Linked DNA regions of Oryzias latipes. The protein of the gene in region 5 purifies or fractionates together with the protein of the main gene of each other region. This does not show direct contact. Links are inferred from orthologs where the notes say so. Each region holds a gene or a part of one and is shown on either strand. Other genes may lie near its edges.

Region 1 (4,116 bases), on a different chromosome or scaffold from region 5:
CCAGAAGCAGCCATGTGGGGGGCCACCTTCTTCATTCCTAAACTCAGGTTTGACTGGAGTTAAGGCGTTAGTGTGTGATGCTGCTGTGAACTGTAACTGAGCTGTCGGGTAGGAAAACTGAAAACTCAGCTCAGATAGTTGTACACGAATCTGCAAATTGGTCTGTAATATCTTAAAGTTGAGTCATGGCTTCTGGCATGGCATCAGGAAGCTCCATCATGAAGCCACTTGGATGAGAAGTGAAATGATTTAAAGAGGAAGATTTTAAGTCCAGATGCCACGACTCAACTTCAAGATGTCACCTGGATTAATGAGAACATTCACAGACAAAGTACTACACATTTTGGGGGAGAACCTCTTAAAAGGGTGCAGAAATATGATAACACATTGGGTTTTTCTTTTTTAGTTTAAGCTCCAGAATTCAAAAGTGAAAAAGCTTTACATTAAATATCTAGTGTGGCCACAGGTTTTTTGACTAATTGGAATGAATATGTTCATGCTCAAAGACACACTCTCATGAAAATCGAATTTTTGGTGTTTTTAACATGTTCTTGTGGCATTTTTCTTATGAGGAGGACATAAATTAAGAAGATTAAGCTCAAAATTGAATTTCTGACTATTCAAATCGTTGTGAATCAGGAGCAGAAAAACTGCTTGGCGGGCTCCTTGCTCCGGGCTCCATGCCCACAGCTCAGAGTCGAAGTTCTGATGAACTACTGCTGCTCTGCAGAAACTATGTCCCAGAAAACTACACGTTTTTTTTTTTTAAGCTAAACCAGCAAAACCATAATTAAAAGACAACTGGAAACACTATTAAAATAGTTCAAAAAACGGTTTTTAATTCAGTTTTAATTACATTCTGCCTTCAAATAATTTTATATATATATGCTGGACAAAACACTGACAGACATAATTACTTGAGAACAGAACTATGCACATAGAATATCCTACAGCAAAATCTTAGTCAGGTATGACAGGGATTTAAAAACGTGCTGTTGGTTAGATGTCCGGCTTCTTGAAGTTCAGAATAAGAGTTTTCTTGATGTATAGTCATCTTACATCCTGTCTTGTGAATCCAGGAGAGGATAGCGGGCTGAAGGACCATGAACCTGAAGACTTGCGGCCCTACAGTTCATCCCATGGTCTCCACGAGTGCAAAGAGTGTGATCAGGTCTTCCCTGATGTCCAGAGGTAGTGTCACAATTTGAGCATATGGTCTATCATGCAGTTTTTCCAGTGGTTTGGTTTTTCTCACAACCACACGCTGTTCTCCTTCTGTGTTCCTTTCAGCCTGGAGGCCCACATGCTCTCCCACTCTGAAGAGAGGGAATATAAGTGTGATCAGTGTCCCAAGGCCTTCAACTGGAAATCAAACTTGATCCGACATCAGATGTCACACGACAGCGGCAAACACTACGAATGTGAAAACTGCTCAAAGGTAAAGTGAAGGCACTCGCTTGAATTGTCCTGATTATTCCAACCGGGTTATTGTAATGGATAGTAACTCCTCTGTGTGTATGGTTCCTTCCCCCAGCAGGTGTTCACAGACCCCAGCAACCTTCAAAGGCACATTCGCTCGCAGCATGTGGGGGCGCGTGCCCACGCCTGCTCTGACTGTGGCAAGACGTTTGCAACGTCTTCAGGCCTCAAGCAGCATAAGCACATCCACAGCAGTGTCAAGCCCTTCATGTGTAAGTCACTAAGACCCTACCTATGTAAGTCTCCTCAGTACATTACAATAATAATGACAATATGCTTTGACTGGCATTGATTAGCAGGAACTAATAATTTTGCAGAAGTAATTTAGGTCTTCCACAGGCTCTCCAGCACATGTCTTTTTAAGCCAGGTGACATGCAGGTGACCTTTTGCATTAAGGTCCTCAGTCACTGCTGGTTTGGTAACACCAGCAAACCTCCTGTCAGTCACCATCAACACCACTACTTACACGTTTTTCATAGATTTCACACATTTTTGCTGCGTCTAACAGACAGATCAGGTCTCTTTCCGTGGAGGGCTTTTATTTCTTTTTAATTTTTGTGCTCCACTCGAAGCTTATAAAAACATATTTATGCTTAAAAACACAGTCGTTCCCCTTTCGCCAGCTAATATGTTGGAATTATCTTCATCAAAGACCTCTCATTCCTCAATCTGTCTTTTCTGGCTCTAGCACGTTCATCATTCCTCACAAATAGCAACCACATGTAGAGCCCTGCAAATAATCCATTTGCTGTAATCAGCAGAAAACATGCAGGTTTGAAAACAGCTAATGGTTGTGTTAAAAAAGATGAAGTAATCCCAAGCAGAAAGGCTCCCTGGGTAAGATACTGTGTGGAGTGTTTGATTGTTCTTGAATGACATCTTCTGGACAGTAGGGATGTACAAAACTGGCATTTTTGTTTTGTTTTTTTGTCAATATTATCAGTGCACACGAAGTATGTATACACAACGTATGAATCATCTATGAAATGAAAACACTCAGAAATGTGTTTATAAGATTCAGTTTCCTTTTAAGGAGCAAGAGAACACACATGTTCTAGATGACAGTTTACGCTAGCTGGAATGCGTGCCTAGTTATTCTATTAATGACACTATTACATCACTGATGGTGATGATAGGAGTTTCCTTGTGGTTTTTTCAGACCCTGTGGTTATACTAAAAACATCCAATAAGGATCAATAAAAGTTGTTATTTTGTTTAAAAAAAGTGCTGACTTCAATGTAAAATGCATGTTCAGACTTTAAGCCATCAAGACTTTATTTGTTGTATTCAAAATGTCTTTTTTTTTTTGTGTTTTGCCACCTACATTCCCTGCACCTAAATACTGGCCATCAGATTAAAAAAACAAATTCCATGCTCCTCCCACTTTTTCCAGATGTTTTCAACCTGATTTTAAAGACTGCTTTGACTTCCTCATTTACTCGTTAAAGTCGGCCTTTCTGTAAGGTTGCGTTCTCTTTTGGCTTAGCCTTACTCACTTAGAATTCCTCAGGGCTGTTTATTCAAATCTGCTTCCCGAATACGTTTTCCTGGTCTTCCTTTCAATCTCTTTGAATTGACTCTCATGCACCTTATGTCTGGAAAGCATCCAAAGTATGCATGAGCTTAATCACTGGGAGAATCTAACCATTTCCTGATACCAAACATCTAACAGCAATGTGAGCAAAATCTATCACTCAGAGGTGCCTCTGACTGATCTTTTAAATGGAAAAATCAAGGTTTTAAGGCGTAAACTGGAGTGAAACCAGTCCAGAGAATTAGGGAGTGTTTGAAAGCAAGCAAAGAGGGGGTTCTTGTCAAGATGAGTGTTTTTTTGTGGGGGAAGCTGAATTGCAAACTGACATGCAAGAGGCAAACTAGAGGCTATAAAGAAAATCTGAGAAGTTGGAGCAGAAAACCGGGGAGTAAATGTACCAATCAGCTGGTAAATATTGGAAATAAGGTGTGTAATATGAACAGAATGTACATGGAGCACATTAAACTTAAAAAAAAGAAGATAAGTCAATAAATAAAGATGGAGAAGATGTTAATTCGCTTATATCTTAATAGGACTTATCTACTTTCCAATAAAGGCCCAAAGTGCTTTACAGTCACATTCCCATTCACCCATGCACGCACATGTTCACACTCTCCGCTGCCAAACACTGGCACAAACTTAAACCACCCACAGCAATGTGGGGTTCAGTGTCTTGCCCACTAACACTTTGACCCCAAACCTTCTTATAGGATTTTAACTACATTACTTTTGCACCATGTCTGGAGAATAATGTGCAGTCACAGTTGAGACATTTTGTTCAAAGAACCCCTTTCTAAATCATCCACTAGTATTACATAAAGTTGACAGATTAATGACCACGATAGATAACATTGGATGCTGGGGTTTTGTTTTTGGATCGGGTGTTGTCAATGTACATCTTCCGGGGCTAGACAAAGTGACATGCAGCTACAGAACGGTTGGCTGTGGGAAGGTCACTTAGCACAGGACGACATGGCCTCAGCCCAGGGGGGGACAAGGTGAGGGGGTTGCGCAGGCCGGCTTGAGACTTTAGAGGCCTGGAGGGGGAAGAGGGAAGAGAGGCAGCAGAGGACGTGAGCCCTGTCCCTGGGAACCGGACTGC
Region 2 (4,726 bases), on a different chromosome or scaffold from region 5:
CCACTATCTGTTCAAATTTGTATATTTTATTCTATTAGTTCAGATTGTTAATTTGATATTAGGTAGGTTTGTTTAAAGTCAATTAAATTAAGATTTAGGGAATTTCTAGACCAACTGAGTCTTTAAGGATCTTTAGTGTTTTTACCAACAAAACAAAAGAGTTATGGGGAAAAATCAGAAACAGACGTACTAAAAAGAGAATCTTGACCAAGCTGCCATCCACTTCCTCCACCCTGCTCTTCCACCAAGTTCCTTCCCACTCCGTCTTGATTATTTGGCCGGCCTTGAGGAGCACCATCGGCCTGCTGGGATAGGCAGAGATATACTCCTCGATAAAGTCTCGACAAGAAGCATCTTCTATGTCCTCCCAAGTGTGTTTTACTGTAAACAAAAAACAAGAAAGATCTTCTTTGTTAAAAACTTCATTAAAAAATGTGCATTTAAATCACTAAAATCTGGGAAAGAGTCCCTTACAAGGTCTGCAAACAGGGTAAAGTTCAGGAAGTATCACATAGGAAGCATAGCCATCATCGAAGAAGATCAAGAACCTGCAAAACATACAGGGACAGCAATTGTTTAAATAATGACCAGCACAGGGCCTCTTTAGATTTGGGAGCACCCACCTCATGCGGTTCTTGTTGTTGGGCATTTCTGCTACGATTCCTGCATACAGCCACACCAGGTTGCCATCTTTGTACTTGGCAACTACTCGAGCCCCAACAAACAGACTCTCCAGAGTGGGGTTGTAGTCGAAAGCCACATGGTTTCCCGACAGCAGACTCTTGCCTTTATCAAACTTTACTTTGTATTTGTAAACCCCACCTCCTGATTTTAGACAGAAGCACCAGAGACAAAAGAAATAATTAAAAAAGGTAAAAAATACCGGAAAACCCAACAAGTGTTTACGCACTAATTTAAAGAAACTTGGAGAAAAGAACACACCAATAGGGTTGATGGCAACAAGAGTGCCTCTGTGCCAGGTCTTCGTGCGTTTCTTTCCCAGAATGTTCATCCCAATTTTGAGCTCATCTTCTTTTATGTTTGGGCTCGGCTGAGTCATTCCTTGGGATGGGGCCTGAGACACAAACACTGCTGGTGCCGAGCTTTGAATACCTGCAGGAAGAAGAGCCACAAATGAGAGCAAGTCGAGGAAGATATCAAGAAGAATTGTGATGCAGGAGCATCAGTATTTGCTCACCTGAAGGAGCAGAGAGCTGTGTTGGAGATCGAAGCAACGCAGCAGATGCTGGAGACTTGGCGACTATTTGGACCAACTTCTGAACTTGGTGGGAGGTTTTCTGCAGAACTGCAGAGGCTTCCTTTAACTGTTTTAACAACAAAAAATCAAGTAACTGTGTTTTTTTATTGCTTCACTTCATATGGATAGGGCAAAGAAAAGGCAGAACATTCAGCGTTTCCAATGTCTTCTTAATGTTTTTTATCCTAAACTGCATAAAATCTTTTCAAAATCTGGTCAAAATAAAGATACATATTACTTTTCCTTCTTCTGTGAAACATTCCATACATAAAATAAAAAATGTTTATTTAAAGATAGAACAACTTGTTTATTGCGAACATTTAATTGATCTCTTACCGCAGGGTCTTTAGAGGGGGTTAATGTCTTGTTTGGGGGAACCACTGATTGAGTAAATTAAAAACAGGAAAAGATAATAATGAGGAAACATCTTTTATCAATGTATAGTCATACTTTCTCCATGACAAATTAATATAACTTACAACAACCAACAGCAATAACGTCGTCGTCATCATCGTCGTCTATCTCTATAACTTCAGAGGGCAGGGAACCTCCTCCGCCTCCCTCATCCTCGGAGCCGCTCTCACGATAAACAAGACCATTCTTCTTACAAGCTTCCTTCACCAGCTTCTCACACTCTATTACAGACCTGCAATGAAATGAGGAGCATGGCGTCAACCATCTAGACACGGTGACACAACAAATAAATCAAAGGCAGAAGCACATTCTTACTGGTTGGCATCAGTAAGCAGCATCTCCGTCTTTGCCTCCTCTTCCTCTTTCTGCTCCACCCATTCCTTAAGCTCCGTCAGCTGAGCTTTCTTCTTCTGGACAATGTCGCTCTTTTCCACAGCTTCATCAATCCATTTCTTCAGCTCATCCAGGGATATGCCAAACTCTTCCTCCAGACTGGAGTCCCAGCCATCCACCTCCATTCTGAAGAAGAACAGTCGGTAAGAAAGAAGTTGAATAATTAAAAAAAGATTTAAAAATAAAACATTTAAATGAAAACTAAAATGTGTCCATGATCAAATAAAACTTTCTTGATCTATACAAAAAACTGTGCGAAGATTAATTGGAAATGCTTTAAAATATTAAAATGATTAATTACTATGACAAATGTGGAGACCAAAAGAGATGCTGTGACTAAATCAATAAAAGAGCAATTAAAAACAAAGACTGTGAGATTTATTTAAAAAAAACAGTCTGTAAAGCAGGGAAAGAAAACAAAATATTGGGGATAACACATCAACAAACACAACAGGCTTTCCATCAATAGCTGATAGTAAGGTCTCAAATGATCTTAGTCAATAATTTGAAAGAAAATCGTGGAACTAAATAATTTGGACCAACTACGTCACATTAAATAAATATTAAAAGCATTACAGAAAAATAATGTCTACAAATTAGGATGAATTCTTTTGTTTAGCTTTACCTTTTTAGCACAAACAGTATAACTTAAAATCAGAAAAAGGAGAAACAGAGCAAGTTTTCTTTTAAGAAAGGGCTGCAAATTAAAATCTCCACAGATTCAGTAAACGGTGCTAAAAGAGCAGCATGGTGGAGACAAGATGCTGCTGGAGCTCGATACTGGATGCATGCTAGCTGGTTAGCTTAGCATAAACGCTTCATATGAACGTAAACACCCAAGAGTGCATAAGTAGGTGGCTGTAGAACGTGCATATTTATTTCGTCTGGGGGGTGTTCTTAAGGATGCGGCTTATGTATTTTATATTAAAAAAAAAACATCTGGAAAAAGTACATACCCTTCAACGTTTTCCATTCTATGGGACGATGCTTTAAAACTAGCTTACGTTAAAGCTACGAGCTAGCTACAATAGGGAGCGCTTGACGTGGCTCCCAGGGTATCCCGACTGGGCGGTGTTAGGTGGGCTTAGTGAAGTAGAAGCAAAACATCCGACTCATTCGTTTAACAGCGTCCAAAAAGTTCTACCAAAAAATATGATTCTTGTTATTATATTTTTATATTCAGAAATTTGCAGGGGTCTGTAAAGATTTTAAGCAAATGTTAGATAGGAAGGAAAAATCAACGTCAATTCGCAATTGCCCTGGTTCTCCTCGCTCAAAATGGTCAAAACAAGCGAACACTCGATTAATTTTGTTTGGTAAATTTTAAATCTCTCATTAACCATCATTTTTAAAGACTTTATTGTGAACAAACAACATTATCAGATTAATCTACTTAATTTAAACAAGTAGTGTTTTGATGTATTAAAAATAATTCCATGGTGTAATTTCTACGTTGCTTAAAAAATGTCCGTAGACGTTTAAGGACTCTCAACTTAAGGAGCATCAGAAAGTTAGTATTGGTTAAAGTGCTTAAAAACATTGCAGTCATTTATTTATCCTAAATTATTTCTGTTAACAAAAGCAACTTTTTTTTTAACCAGACAATGATAAATATTGAACGTTGTTTTGTGCTATTTCAAATGTATTTCTGTACAGGTACCAAAGCCCCTAGTTGGTGAAGGTCACACTCACCAACTTTGGCAATGAAATAAATTATTTATTTAAAATTTCCCAAAAAAATGTCACTTTTGTGCTAAATTCTTGGAACAAAAGGAAAAAAACAATACAAAGCATCTGAAATAAAAGTTCAGTTGCTTTTACTCAGGGCTATCAAAATGTTAAATACAGATCTTGATGAATAATAATAATAATGTTTGTATCAGCCAGTATTTATGCAAATTTATCTATACATACATAGATATAAAAACACTTTATTTGTAGAAAAAATTGTTTTGTTAAAATAATTTTTCACAAATCCATCTATCCGTCTATTACCTGCTATTTCAGAATCAGAGATACTTTATTGATCCCACACGTGGGAAATTTGTTTGTCACCATAGCAACTGACAGCAGAGGGAAAAAAGACTTAGAATTAAGTAAAAAAAAAAAAGCAAGAACAAGAAAATGTAGCATAAATGTGTTGTGGGTCATAGGGATTGCTGAAGCCTATCCAGCTAGCTTTTAGGTCAAAGGAAGAGAAACCCATAGGTCAATATTGATTAACTTTATAACATAAACAATCCTAAGAAAATGTAAAACCACATCACTTAAGCACACGTGAAACCCCACCGCATATACTTGCATGATAGTGATCAACAACTATTCCACCAAAATTCAAAAATGTAGAAATTGTCCAAAGAATTTGCGTTTCCAATTTTATTTTCTGATCATCCGTCATACACAGGGGATCCATGTCATGATTCCTCAGTTTCCTCTTCTAGGAATGTTGAAGGAGAAACTTCGCCGTAAGGGTCCAGTACCAGCTGAGCGCAGCGGACAATCGTCACCAGCAAAAAGAAGCAGAGAAGAAAGAAGAAGAAGAGGGCAAAACCCAGATCCACATCCACGTCTGACCAGGGCACAGGAGTAACTGGAGGGTCCATGCTGACAAATCCACAAAAAACTTTCAGTTGTCCTCAAATTCTTCATTTTTTATTCTCC
Region 3 (4,595 bases), on a different chromosome or scaffold from region 5:
CAGGCACTAAAACTGTTAACAATTAGAGTTGTTATGACATGTATGACACTTAGTGGTCCTTAATATGAGATACTTTGGAAGACTTCAATGATCATACATTGCAAAACCTTTGACAGCTCAAAAAGCTTTGAACCAGTATATACAACCTTAAAGCTCATTGAAAACCACACAAGCGTAAAAAAAAAAAAAATCTATGTAATTCATGTAACTAGAAGGATAAGGCAGGAAACAGGAGCACAGAACGTCCTGAGAAAGGAGCAGAGGTAATGCAAAGAACAGCACAAACTACAACAGTTACTGAGCTTCATCTTCTGGACAGGAATGCCACGTCAGTCGCTCCTCATAGAAGGATATGACTACCTGAGGGCAGCGAGTGTTGGCTTCACGGGCCGGGACCAAATCCGCTTCGTCGGAGTCTTTCCTGTAAAAAATTAAACAGCGTTACACAAATGGAAAAAAAAAACATTCAACATAAAACTACTTTAAAAAAATTAGTCATATGATATTCCACAATAAATAACATCTTTCCACAATGTTTCTTTTGTGAACCAACCAATGAAGTTAAGAGAAAATGTGAACAACGTTCAAACTAGAAGTTTTCATTCTGGGCCAAATTGTACTGCTCACCTAAAACAAGTTTTACATTAACCCCTCCCTATGCTGTGGTTTATCTATCGCTGCTTCAAATTTTTATAAATATCTTTGCATGTTTATTTTGATTGCCCTCTGGATCCTGATTGGTTGATGACCATGTCATCCATCTCCTCCCTCCCATGTCTCCTGTACAAATGCGTTTAGCTTGCCCATTACAAACATCTTCCATTGTGACCAGATTTTTGTCTGCTTTCTAAAATATTGGACTTATTGTCTTATTTGAGAGTTTAAACAAGAGAGAAAAGTGTGAAAATGTTTGTTTGTCTGAGAAAAGTGTATAAAGTGTGTAGTGAGGAGTTTTACAATGATAATCCTATGAACCAGATTTTAAAGTGGGATGTTTATCTTATAATTTTTTTCATTTCATAAACATCTTTTAAAGGTTCTGTCTAGTAGACAGTCAGAGACATTCTATAAAAATGTACCATTTCATCAGAAACATTAACTCCCCGCTACTGTCAGTTGCTCCAATAATTCGCTCTGGCTCCAGGTTTCTGGCAAAGCCACGTGGTTTCTCAGCCTAAAGTGGAAGCACATGAACATTCAGAAAACAGTTTTAAAATGGAAGAATGACTAATTAGAACTGAGCTCAAAGTACTGCAATGACATTGTGACATACCATGTCTTTCTTCTTGGGCTCTGTCTCTGGCTCATCTGTGGAGGCTTTCCTTTTAACAGCAGCAGGCTTCTCCTTAATATTCTTTTGTGATTCCAAAAATGCAGAAATCAGCTCAGGACAGTCCAGGTTCTCCTCCGGCTCCCAGGTGTTGTCAGCACTAAATAGTTAAGAGGGCTGTGATCAATTGCATATAAATCATGACTTTTAAAAAAAATGTAAAGCTAACAGGATGCGGAGAACACTAGCAGCTTCATGCAAAAATGACTTTACTACATGTTCAGAACAATCTGAAACCAATCAGATCCAAATGATCTGGGTTATCAAGTGATCAGGGCAATCTGGTGTTCTTTAAAAAATAACAAGACTGGTCAAGTTATGAGAAAATTGTCTAAAGCATATAATCTGGTGTCTTCTTGCATGTAAATGAACTATTTGTAATTTTGGTTTACGTTATATGGGTAGTTACAGCGTGAGTGGAAAACAAAGAAAAAGGGCAGATGCTTGCCACATTCGAGCCAATTGTCTTGTTCTTTTCCTGAAGTATTCAGCCCATTTTGTATACCCATAAGCCAGAAGGAAAATCGAGGCCAAAAATTTGGCTAATTTTAGCTAAATGAAAGCTCAAGTTAAAGGAGGGGGAGGGGTCAAATTAAGAATCATAGTATAAATGTACAAAAACTTTAAAATTGGATCTAAGGCTCATGCTAATCTATTGTAAATGTCTGATTCCTTAACCACATAAAAATGTGGTAACAGAGTAAACAGGCCAACCCCCCTTCCCCATTCTAAAGAACTAGCTGGAGAGGCTCCAGTTAACTCACTCTGTAAATCCTTTCCACTTCAAGTAGAACTCTACTTTCCCATTGACGAGACGCTGGTCGAGTACTTTTTCCACAACAAATTCTTCTGGCTCTTCCTGCGTGTCCTGTGAGTCCTTCTTACTCTTTGTATTCTGCTTCTTGCCCATTCTGGCCTCTAAAACCAAGAGGAAGGAGAGTCAATTGCCGATGTATCACGCAACTGCCCTTTTCCACTTCACCTGTAGGACCCACATTTAGCAGAAAGGCTTGTACCGTAAATATAAAGGTGTACAGCATGTGTGTGTTTAGTTTTTCCAACTTTTTACGACGGACGCGACTCGGCCACGTTCACTCCGCAAGTTTTCCGTAAATGGTACTAGCGTCCTTTGGGTTAGCCAACATGCTAACGTAGCCAAAACAGTTTGAGGCCATGGTACCATTGTTTATATCTTTTTACTAAAAAGGAACATCAACATGCTACAAAAACGTGTTTTCTTTAGATCTTACCTTAACGCCTCAAATAATTACAACAATACAGCAATATCGACACCCAACAAAAAAACGAAAGATTGTTCGTGCTAGTGTTAAGTTAATAGCAATAGCAAAACGAGACAATCAACAGTCTAAAACTAAAAGTATACTATTCATACAACACTCGGGCTTGATAAACTTAAAAAGCTTGAGCTGTGAAGAGTCAAATACAAATTCTGTTCGGTTCATTGCATTCATTTCTATGATGAAGAAGTTAGCTTAAATTACTCCTTACGTCTTAGTTATTTAAGAAAAAAAGTTCAAAAACAAAGAGATGAGATGCAGCATTTAATACCGGTAAACGTAGCTTACATACCTTGTAAAGCCTAGAAAATGACCTCGGTGACGACTTATTCAACCACGCGGTCACTGCCTGTCTTTATGTACAGATGAAGAAAGGAGGGTGCGCGCCAAACGCAAAAGGCGAGTAGGCTACGGAAGCCCGTAAGGAAACAATTTGCTTTAGAGCACTTGTGACTCTACGGTGTCCTGTTAGTTTATTTTTACGTCATTTATTTTTTCTCAGTTTATATAACGGTTTATCTCACAATCTTTAAAATATGTTTTTTCATTTTAAATGAAAAATGAGAATACACGAGTAAAGCTTTGCAGCATGTTTAAAACATTGACACATTTCTATCGTTTTCACTAATAAAGGAACAGCTTATAGTTGTTTTTGTGTTTTAAATATTCTGTATGTCTTGAGTTTTTTTGATATTGACGCTTACAAATGACTTCTGAGCTAAAATAAACTCGTGTTACTAAAGAATACTACAAAAAATGTTTATTTTATGCAAACCAACTTACCTGCTATAGAATGATCTACAGAATTTGGGTGCATAGAATCCTAATAATAAAGCCCTAAATAAAATAACAAATACACAAAACAATATTGTGTCAGTGCAGTTGTATTGATTGAGTGTGAAAAAAATTAAGTATCAGTGTTTAAAGCTGTGAAAATTATTTACTGTCTCAATGTGATTATCAAATGTAAAGTGATTCATTTTCAGTAATCTTTACTTGATAAATATAAGGTTGTCTGTTAAATTTAGTTACACTAAAGCAATACCTTTGCTATAAGTGTGAAGGCGAAATAAAATGATCTGTGCTTCAGTCTACACTTTTGCAATCCAAATGTTTCTATTTTTTTATTTTTATTTGCAATAGTGAACAATATCTTCTACACCAAGTGAACCGAGTTAGTAAAAAATTCTCTGCTAGAAAAATTGTAATTTTGTCAAAATGTCTTCTTTACCATTTTTGACAATACCAAATAACTACAGCACTGGCCAAATGGTGTGATTTGAGTTGTACTTGGATTAATAATAATAATAAAAACTTAAAGCACTAGCAAAGTACTTAAGTTAGGAGAAAGACATTCACCCCACTTTAAAAAATGCTTAGACTTAAAGGTACACATAAAATGTGAACAATAATCTTATATTTATCAGAAAAAACAACAAGAATGCCACTTTCTTTTTTTATTCAGAGTAAACAAATCCCCCAAAAGCGCCTAAATTCTTCAAGAAAAACCATACTATCAGCAATCAACAAGCAAACAATCAAAAAACAAGAAAGACACACATTTGCGAAACTTAGAGACAGAAAAGTAAACTTTAAGCTAAACCAGGAAAAGAAAAATGTCACTTCATGCACTCCACAATTATTTCACACACTTGGCTGACTTTGTAAAGCTGTGAACCCATAGTTTTCATAGCAATCCCTTTGCATAATGACAAATATTTAAAGGGTTACATCTTGCCTTGCTGATAGATTTTTTAAGTAACTGGACAGCTTATCTGTTTGGGGTCACAGTAATAATGAATATTTTATTATACAAGTACACTTAAGTTCACCAAACCTTTCAAATTAGTCAAAAAGGGATTAGGAAAAAAAAATAAACCTGAGGTAGAATTTCATTTAAAAAAATGGAAAAGGTTTTTGAAATGTAAGTTTAAATAAATCAAGTGGAAAACTTGGGAGTATTTTTT
Region 4 (4,116 bases), on a different chromosome or scaffold from region 5:
TTTTAAATCTTCTAACTTAACTTTTATTACATCTTTTAGAAAAAACAGCTGGGACTTCCAGCTTTTTCTGCCAAAATTATCACAAAAATGCATGTGAGATTGTCGAGGGACTGTAGATCAATACAGACTATGAGTTTCTCCTTTTTTTTCTTTTTATACTGGTGTGCCGCGGGATTTTTATCAAGGTTAAAATGTGCCGTGGCTCAAAAAAGGTTGAAAAAAACACTGAGTTAGATGACTCGATCTCTAAGGCTCCGCCTTTCGCTCCTTGTGGGTGCCGCCCATTTCATGACATCTACCTAGTCAGCCTCGGCAGCGTGTCTGCGTCTCGCCCCGGAAAACAAACAACATCCAAACGTTTGCAAAGATGCATGTGCATTGTGCATATAAAAGTGTTTTTCCCAAACATTGCTAGCTCCTCAGAGAAAGTGGGTGTGTGTGTTAGCTCGGGGGCGGAGCTGGCTGCGCAGAATCTTCCTGGAAGGGGCTGGAAAATACAAAAAAAACAATTAATAGCTCAAAAAGTTTATTTTGCATGATGTAGCCCCTTTAAAGAACAGCAGAAACGAGGATCTTGATCAAAATCATGCATTTTTCCATCTGTGTCGCATCTTTAAGTATAGGAAACTTGCTCCCACTCCAGGTCTGCTTGATTTTTGTTCCATATTTTTCTTTGGGTTGATTGTGTTTTCATTTTCTTCCTGTTTCCTGTTTGGCTTAGACGGCCCAGAGGCGGGGGGTCAGCCTCAAGTGTCTCACCCCTCTGGTCCACATGGTGACAAAGAGTACACACACATCGGGCCCCTGGAGCCCTTCAGCACAAACACAACGTCAGAAAGCAAAGGTGAGCCGTGGAAACATCAGGGCATTTGTCTGCAGCTGCTTCTATCTCTGAAGATGAACAAGTTTTAGATAATAATAAATATAATAATAATGGATTGGATTTATCCAGACGCTCAAAGCGCTTACAGTGTGTCCATTATTCATTCCTTCCTCATTCATACTGGGTGATGGTAAGTACTGCCCTGGGGCAGACAGACGGAGGCGTGGCTGCCAGTGTGCGCCTACGGCATCTCTCACCATCACCCGGGCATTCATACACATTCAGACACCAGTGAAGCCACACTGGAGGCAGGGAGGGTAAAGTGTCTTGCCCAAGGACACAACGACAGTAGACTGGGGGGAGCAGCGATTGAACCGCCGAGCCTTCGATTATTGGGCGACCTGCTCAACCGCCTGAGCCGCTGCCGCCCTTATTAGATCATAATTACTGATGCAAAAAGGGTTTTATCCGTTAGTTTGGATATTGAATTGTTTTTACATTTGACGATATTTAGACAGAATTCATCTTTAGAGTATTTTTAATTCCTTCCGTGTTTTTCTTTATTTCAAACACATCAGCTCCAGTGATGGAGGAGGCGCATGAGCTGCCGCTCTGCAGCTGTCGTATGGAGACCCCAAAGAGTCGAGAGATTCTCATCCTCGCTGACAGGAAGTGCATGGCCACAGAGAGCGTCGATGGCCAGCTAACCCGCTGTCAAAGCGCTGTGATGAAGCACGAAATGATGCGACCCTCCAACTCCGTTCAGCTGCTGGTTCTGTGTGAGGACCACCGCAACGGCATGGTGAAGCACCAGTGCTGTCCAGGCTGTGGCTTCTTCTGCAGAGCAGTGAGTATTCTGTTTAGGTCTCATATTTTCACGGTTTTTCATGTTGACAAAAACATTTTCTCATCTGTTCTTCATTCCCTTGAAAGCTATAAAATCCTGGTCAGTTTCATTCAGTCTCTGTTCACATCTGAACTACAGGAAAGGAAATAAGTACCGTAAATTCCGGACTACAAAGCGCACCCGATTACAAGCCGCACCCACCCATTTTCACGTGTTTGACTGCTTTTATACATACACAAGCTGCGTCAGAGTACAAGCCGCGCATGTGTTAGGCGATATTGTCGTCCTGACAGATCAAGGCCAGTATCCCAGAGTGAGTGCAATTTATTAGCACATTGTGGGTTGTGCCAGCTTTGCCTCTGGCTCACGTATTTGAGTGTATCGACATCTGTCAAACAGCATGGACCTATATTCTGTTCACAAGTTCCTCAGTTATGGTGTTTTTATTTCATTTTTTTTTTACTTATTGACAATCTAGGTATCATACATAAAATTACAAACAGTAACCATATAATCATTATAATTACGCGCTCCTTGTCTCCCCTTCCTATCTACTCCGACACCTCTGGCCAGGGCAGCTTCAAGGAGGAGCACTTCGTCCCCGTTGCACCGGTGTAAGGAGCAAATAGTTTCTGTGCAAAGCAATCGGACTTAAAACTGTACGTTTTGTGTATGAGGGGCGGGTGCGTTGTTACGTGTGGGAGCCATCAGACTGCCATCGGCCCCGCAGCTCAATCAGCAGGAGAAGATGTCTCCAGCTCACACGGAGGCTGTGAGTTTTTCAAAGCAAAATTTCGCTTTTACGGTTTCCTTAGAAACCGTAAATGGAGTGTAAATTCACTCCATGCGCTGTTCTCTCCGTCACGCAGCAAACCGACTTTTCCAAACCCGTTGGTGACGGTGGACTTTTTCACGCTGCTTTTAACGATTGCTTTTAACTTGAAAGCTTCATCATAATGTAGCGGCGATCACGTGCACGTTGGGTCTAATGGCCCCAAAGGATTCTGGGATGCGGCCGGGCATGCGTGTTTCATTTTGTTGAACCATGACTGAAGTGTCTAAGACCCGAAGTCAACTCCATGCTGTTTGGCTGCTTAGAGGTGTGTTGAATATAAATGCCTTGTGCTTGGTGTTAGATAGAGAATTCAAACTATTCACTGAGTTCGAAAGTACGTACATGGCTGCCGCCAATTAAATCCATAAATTAGCCGCGTCACTGAATAAGCCGCAAGGCTGTAAGCGCAGGAAAAAAGTAGCGGCTTGTAGTCCGGAAATTACGGTATTTCATCCCTTACTGATATTGTAGGTTTGCGTACTTAAAAAGAAACTGACAGACTTTCATCTTAATGGAAGGTTCATTTGAACAGTGAGAGAAAACAATAATGAAATCAACTTTAAAGAATCTACACCAATTTATTTGCATTTCATTGAGGAAAATACAGACATGATGAGTTCTGGTTCACAAAGAGCAGTTAGACTCTCCTGTTCAACTTGCCACTTGAATTGAAGAAACCTGTTTGAACTAATCACCTGTAGAAAAGACACCTGTCCACAGAATCAGTCCTACTGTCAGACTCCAAACTCTCAAACATGGAAAGACTAAAGAGCTTTCAGTGGATTTAAGGGAGAAGATTGTAGACCTGCACAAGACCGGAATGAACTCCAAAACCATCAGCAAGAACCTGGAGGTTAAAGGGACAACTGTTGGTGCAACATGACCATCAATCCACCTTTAGGTTTGGGGATCCAAACCAGATCTCACCTGGTGAGGTTTCCATGATCATGAGAACGGTGAGAAATCGGCCTAAAACAACACGGCAGGACTTACTTGATGATCTCAAAGCAGCTGGAACCACAGTTACCAAGAAAACCATTGGAAATACGTTACACCGCAACAGTTTAACATCGCGATGTCCGCCTGCTTAAGAAGACACGTGCAGTCCTGCCTGAAGTTTAGCAATGAACACCTTCATGATTACAGAGAGATTAGGAGAAGGTTCTGTGGTCAGATGAGACCAAACCGGAGGTCTTTGGCATCAACTCAACCCGTCGTGTTTGGAGGAAGAGAAATGCTGTCCATGACCTGATGACTGTTTATTACAACTGGGCTGAGTGACCCCTCCCCCCTGACATTCCAAGCAAGTAGTAACCATTGGCCCCAAAAAAGCAGGAATTCAATAGTCTTCTTTAGAAAAATAAACAGCTATTATTCAGCCATTCTCTTTGTCAGAGTAACCATTCTTGCTCTGATTCCTTTTTTTTTTAACTGTCAGGTTAACCCAAACCATGACATTAACATGTTTAACATGCGTTTGATTGACAGATTCTCCCAAGCCCACTTTCAGTAGAAGGGGTGTGGTCTTCTAACACTATTAATTGGAGAGAGTGGTTTCTAAAGAAATGTGGACTTAGACCAACTCGGACCAATTACTGCTTACTGACGATT
Region 5 (4,116 bases):
GAATCGTTTTGCCACTTGATCATCCAGACTCCAGAGGCCTCATGCGGACCACAGACAGCTGCTTTGGTAATCGGCTGACAAAGAGTTAGGATTCAAAGTTGAAATATTTGGCCTTCAGGACCCATGAGGACACACCCCGGGACATCAGGCGTGACATTCACACAATGATGGAGAGAGAAAAACTGACATGACCTCGATCAACAGCAAGAATTCATAGAGAAGTTGAGGTTTGATTCCGGCGAATGTTCCATCTGGCAGGTTCTCTGGGTGTCGTCACACAGTGTAAATGTCAGAATGAGTGAAGTGAGGCTCTGACTCAGCACCTCTGAGTCATGGAAAATGCTGATTCTTTTTCTTCTTGCTTATAAAAAAACATGTTTAAAATCTTGACACTTTCTCACGGTCGCATATAAAAATTCATGAAAGGAATCTGTACAGTTTCCAGCATATCAACACAGAATTCCTGCAGTCAGAAGAGGTACTTCCGACAGAGTTCGGAGCCACACCGACACTCAACCCGGACCCTCTTCTTTGGCGAGCCGGGGAGCCCAGCCAGGCTGAAACTGGAGTCCATTTTGGTGCTCTCTGTGTCCACTGGATCAACTGGAAGTATCAGAAAAGGACAGCCCCAGTCAAACACAGCATCTGCATCTCTTTAGTTTCACAGCCAATGGCTGTCATTTCTTGATGGACTTGAGAGCTTTGTTGTAAAAGTGCATACACACAAATGACTAAAAGGTGCAGAAGAAGGATGGTAAATGACGTCTACTAATATAGCGCTTTTCTACCTTCTTCAAGGCCCAAAGTGCTTTACAGTCACAGTCCCATTCCCCCATTTACACACATTCACACACTGGTGGGGGCTCCACTGCCCAACACTGGCACCAATCTTTCACCACAGGCAAGGTGGGGTTCAGTGTCTTGCCCATGGACACTTTGACTCATGAGCGTACAAAGCGGGAATCGAACCTGCAATCTTATGATCATGGGTCGACCGCCCTACCGCTGTCCCGTGGAGTCTCTCAGCCTTCTATTAAACTCTGCATGGAGCACAGCGAGGTTTTTTATGATTAAAAAGTATCGATATGTACTTCAAAACAAAAACTACACACTTTTTTACAAAGGTTTATCTTGTTCATGTTTTAGATTTTGGCCCCCTGGGCGATGGAGTTTGACACCCCTGCTGTAGAGTGAGAGAACACTGAAACACATGTTGTGTTAGACATGTCAGTCCCTGCTGATCATATCCCTGTGTGCTGCATGGACTGAATGATAGAGAACTGTAGTTTTTGGACCAAAAGGAAACAGCAGAAAATATTTTTGGGAAAAACTCCCCCCCTCAGGAGGAATACCAGTTCTCTTAAAGGTTTCGTTAAGAAAGTCTCTTGGATAAAAGGCGGAGCGTGGTCAATTTAAAAAACTGCAGATGACCATCCTCAATAAATGCAAAAAGGAAAACATACTTCTCGGCAAGTTCATGTGGTTTGTATAGTTTGACATGATAAAATCCTAGTCTGGACGAGGTTAGCTTCATCAATCTGTTCATCCATCCATCTTTTCATCCATCCATCCATCTGTTCATCCATCCATCCATCCATCCATCCATCTGGTCCTCCATCCATCCATCCATCATCCATCCATCTGTTCATCCGTCCATCCATCTGTTCATCCATCCGTCCATCTGTTCATCCATCCATCCGTCCATCCATCAATCTGGTCCTCCATCCATCCTTCCATCATCCATCCATCTGTTCATCCATCCATCCGTCCATCCATCTGTTCATCCATCCGTCCATCTGTTCATCCATCCATCCATCCATCCATCCATCCATCTGTTCAACCATCCATCATCCATCCATCAATCTGGTCCTCCATCCATCCATCATCCATCCATCTGTTCATCCGTCCATCCGTCCATCCATCTGTTCATCCATCCGTCCATCTGTTCATCCATCCATCCGTCCATCCATCAATCTGGTCCTCCATCCATCCATCCATCCGTCCATCCATCTGTTCATCCGTCCATCCGTCCATCCATCTGTTCATCCGTCCATCCATCTGTTCATCCATCCATCCGTCCATCCATCTGTTCATCCATCCGTCCATCTGTTCATCCATCAATCTGTTCATCCATCCATCCGTCCATCCATCTGTTCATCCATCCATCCTTCCATCATCCATCCATCTGTTCATCCGTCCATCCGTCCATCCATCAATCTGGTCCTCCATCCATCCATCCATCTGTTCATCCATCCATCCGTCCATCCATCAATCTGGTCCTCCACCTATCCTTCCATCATCCATCCATCCATCCATCTGTTCATCCATCCATCCATAAGGCTTGCAGGCTTTGCCGAAGCCCATTGCAGTGAACTCTGGGTAAAGTGGGTTACACTCTTTAAAGATTGATGTTTTGAGGCTGACTAAGCTTGTGTCTGAATTCCCGCCCTAACCCCTATAACTAACTACTTTACTTTTTTTTTTCTCTAAACGGCATATATGACGTCATCGACAATTATTTATGAATCCACTGTCTTCTGAAGATAAAAACTTTGATGGTTTGTTAAAAAAATACATTTAAATACATTTTTGAGGCAAAAATCTTTCCAACGCAATGCATTGTGGTCTATATTCGCCGATCTAGTGAGCATTGATGCACACTGGTTTTTTGCAGAGACTTCTGGGAAATTTCTAGGGCACTGGATCTGGGAATTATAGATTAATGTAGCACTAAAAAATGGCAAACGCACTTTATAGTGCACTATATTTAAAGGGGTTAGGGAGGGAATTCGAACATAGCATAAGGCATAATAAAGGAGCATTAACAGTGCAGAGCAGTCATCATGAACTCACTTTGCATCTTGTAGTCGAAGGTAAGCTCCTCCCCTGCCCGGATAGATCGCGTTGAGAACAGAGCGATTCTGGGGAGCCTCTCATCAATGTTGTCAATGAACACATTGAAGACCTGCAGGTTAGGGTTACACTGAAAAGACAACATTTATCAAATCAGAGCTGATCGCTGTTCCTACTGACAGTCCAACATCCAACAAGTAAAGAAGAATGTATATACTTGATAAACACTAGGTAAAACTTTTCAGTTGCTTCTAGATCCACCTTCATTTTCTGCCCCACAATCGATTACTACCGATTACTACTTTAGCTACTCTGAAGGTTGTGTCTTGATAACCTGTGGGGATCAGGTGACTGCAGACACTCACACTGTGGTTGACAAAGTGGGAGATATTTCCTTGGTGAGCAGCATCCACTGTGTACACATCTTCTACATAGTCGAGGTCAAACAGGTAGGTGGAGCCCTGGCGGTCGTATAAATGGCCCCTCTTCTCTGCTTCATCTGTTGTAATTATCTGTAGGGGGCAAATAGAACACTCGAAATCAAATCCATTCACAAATCGTTTATTCTGACTCTCACAGTTGAAGTTTCTCCATAATGAACATTCCAGAGCAAAGTTGTTTCCAGTATTTTGGTTTTAGGAAAACGAAAACTGAAGCTATGTTTTCAGATTACTGTATACATAAATCTACCCACAAATCATTGCGCAGCTGATCAGAACAGTTGTCACTTTGTGCTAACAGCAAACAGCAGAAAAGAAGCCCACAGGACCCTCCAGCCCCCCTGTCATGTTCTACATCCTGAGAGGGAGTTGCTCCCTTCACGACGCAGACTTGACGACTGCGCAGACTTGACGACTGCGCAGACTTGACTGCACAGTATACGATACTTTCTGCTATTGATAGTTTACTGTGCAGCGGTTTGCTCGTCTTTGTTTTTCAAGGATTTATGGTATTATTTTTTAATGTTTCTATCCAATGTTCGGTTTTCATAAGCTACCAGTTCAGACGAGGAATACAAAGACGTTCATGGATCTATTTGTCTGACAGTGGATGATCAGAATGGACTGGAGCTGGGAGACTTTGGCTCATCCATTGTAGCTTCTAGGTTGGAACTGAGAGCTTTTTCTAACGGCGTTTTTTCCTCTGCTCCTCATCCATCACGATTTGAATAAAGAAATAATCAGAAATGCAGTTTTGTTCTGAACTTTTTTTCTATATGTCCTCCCTCATCAGAAAAATGCTACAAGAACATGCTAACAACAG

Evidence for each region.
Region 1: the proteins of suv39h1 (region 5) and mecom purify together in Homo sapiens (affinity purification with western blotting; 3 studies listed by BioGRID). This does not show direct contact. The link is inferred for Oryzias latipes from reciprocal best matches to the Homo sapiens genes SUV39H1 and MECOM.
Region 2: the proteins of suv39h1 (region 5) and setdb1 purify together in Homo sapiens (affinity purification with mass spectrometry; 3 studies listed by BioGRID and IntAct, counting the BioPlex papers as one, with this or other methods). This does not show direct contact. The link is inferred for Oryzias latipes from reciprocal best matches to the Homo sapiens genes SUV39H1 and SETDB1.
Region 3: the proteins of suv39h1 (region 5) and chromobox protein homolog 3 purify together in Homo sapiens (affinity purification with mass spectrometry; 3 studies listed by BioGRID and IntAct, with this or other methods). This does not show direct contact. The link is inferred for Oryzias latipes from reciprocal best matches to the Homo sapiens genes SUV39H1 and CBX3.
Region 4: the proteins of suv39h1 (region 5) and histone-lysine N-methyltransferase EHMT1 purify together in Homo sapiens (co-immunoprecipitation; 3 studies listed by BioGRID and IntAct, with this or other methods). This does not show direct contact. The link is inferred for Oryzias latipes from reciprocal best matches to the Homo sapiens genes SUV39H1 and EHMT1.

Annotation. Positions count from the first base shown.
Region 1 is NC_019871.2:23,081,261-23,085,376, reverse strand, and holds part of mecom (MDS1 and EVI1 complex locus protein EVI1), read left to right. Parts: coding exon 1-47; intron 48-1,079; coding exon 1,080-1,191; intron 1,192-1,290; coding exon 1,291-1,438; intron 1,439-1,534; coding exon 1,535-1,715; intron 1,716-4,116.
Region 2 is NC_019874.2:19,105,005-19,109,730, reverse strand, and holds the start of setdb1 (histone-lysine N-methyltransferase SETDB1), read right to left. Parts: upstream 3,132-4,726; 5' UTR 3,039-3,131; coding exon 3,022-3,038; intron 2,192-3,021; coding exon 1,988-2,191; intron 1,905-1,987; coding exon 1,738-1,904; intron 1,639-1,737; coding exon 1,595-1,638; intron 1,326-1,594; coding exon 1,199-1,325; intron 1,114-1,198; coding exon 943-1,113; intron 826-942; coding exon 624-825; intron 549-623; coding exon 475-548; intron 382-474; coding exon 191-381; intron 1-190. UniProt on the Homo sapiens protein: Histone methyltransferase that specifically trimethylates 'Lys-9' of histone H3. H3 'Lys-9' trimethylation represents a specific tag for epigenetic transcriptional repression by recruiting HP1 (CBX1, CBX3 and/or CBX5) proteins to methylated histones.
Region 3 is NC_019869.2:11,215,136-11,219,730, reverse strand, and holds the start of chromobox protein homolog 3, read right to left. Parts: upstream 3,053-4,595; 5' UTR 2,921-3,052; intron 2,249-2,920; 5' UTR 2,241-2,248; coding exon 2,095-2,240; intron 1,431-2,094; coding exon 1,274-1,430; intron 1,175-1,273; coding exon 1,080-1,174; intron 422-1,079; coding exon 295-421; 3' UTR 1-294.
Region 4 is NC_019870.2:25,911,054-25,915,169, forward strand, and holds part of histone-lysine N-methyltransferase EHMT1, read left to right. Parts: intron 1-721; coding exon 722-844; intron 845-1,401; coding exon 1,402-1,670; intron 1,671-4,116. UniProt on the Homo sapiens protein: Histone methyltransferase that specifically mono- and dimethylates 'Lys-9' of histone H3 (H3K9me1 and H3K9me2, respectively) in euchromatin.
Region 5 is NC_019865.2:30,912,147-30,916,262, forward strand, and holds part of suv39h1 (histone-lysine N-methyltransferase SUV39H1), read right to left. Parts: intron 3,366-4,116; coding exon 3,219-3,365; intron 2,984-3,218; coding exon 2,854-2,983; intron 604-2,853; coding exon 470-603; 3' UTR 1-469. UniProt on the Homo sapiens protein: Histone methyltransferase that specifically trimethylates 'Lys-9' of histone H3 using monomethylated H3 'Lys-9' as substrate. Also weakly methylates histone H1 (in vitro).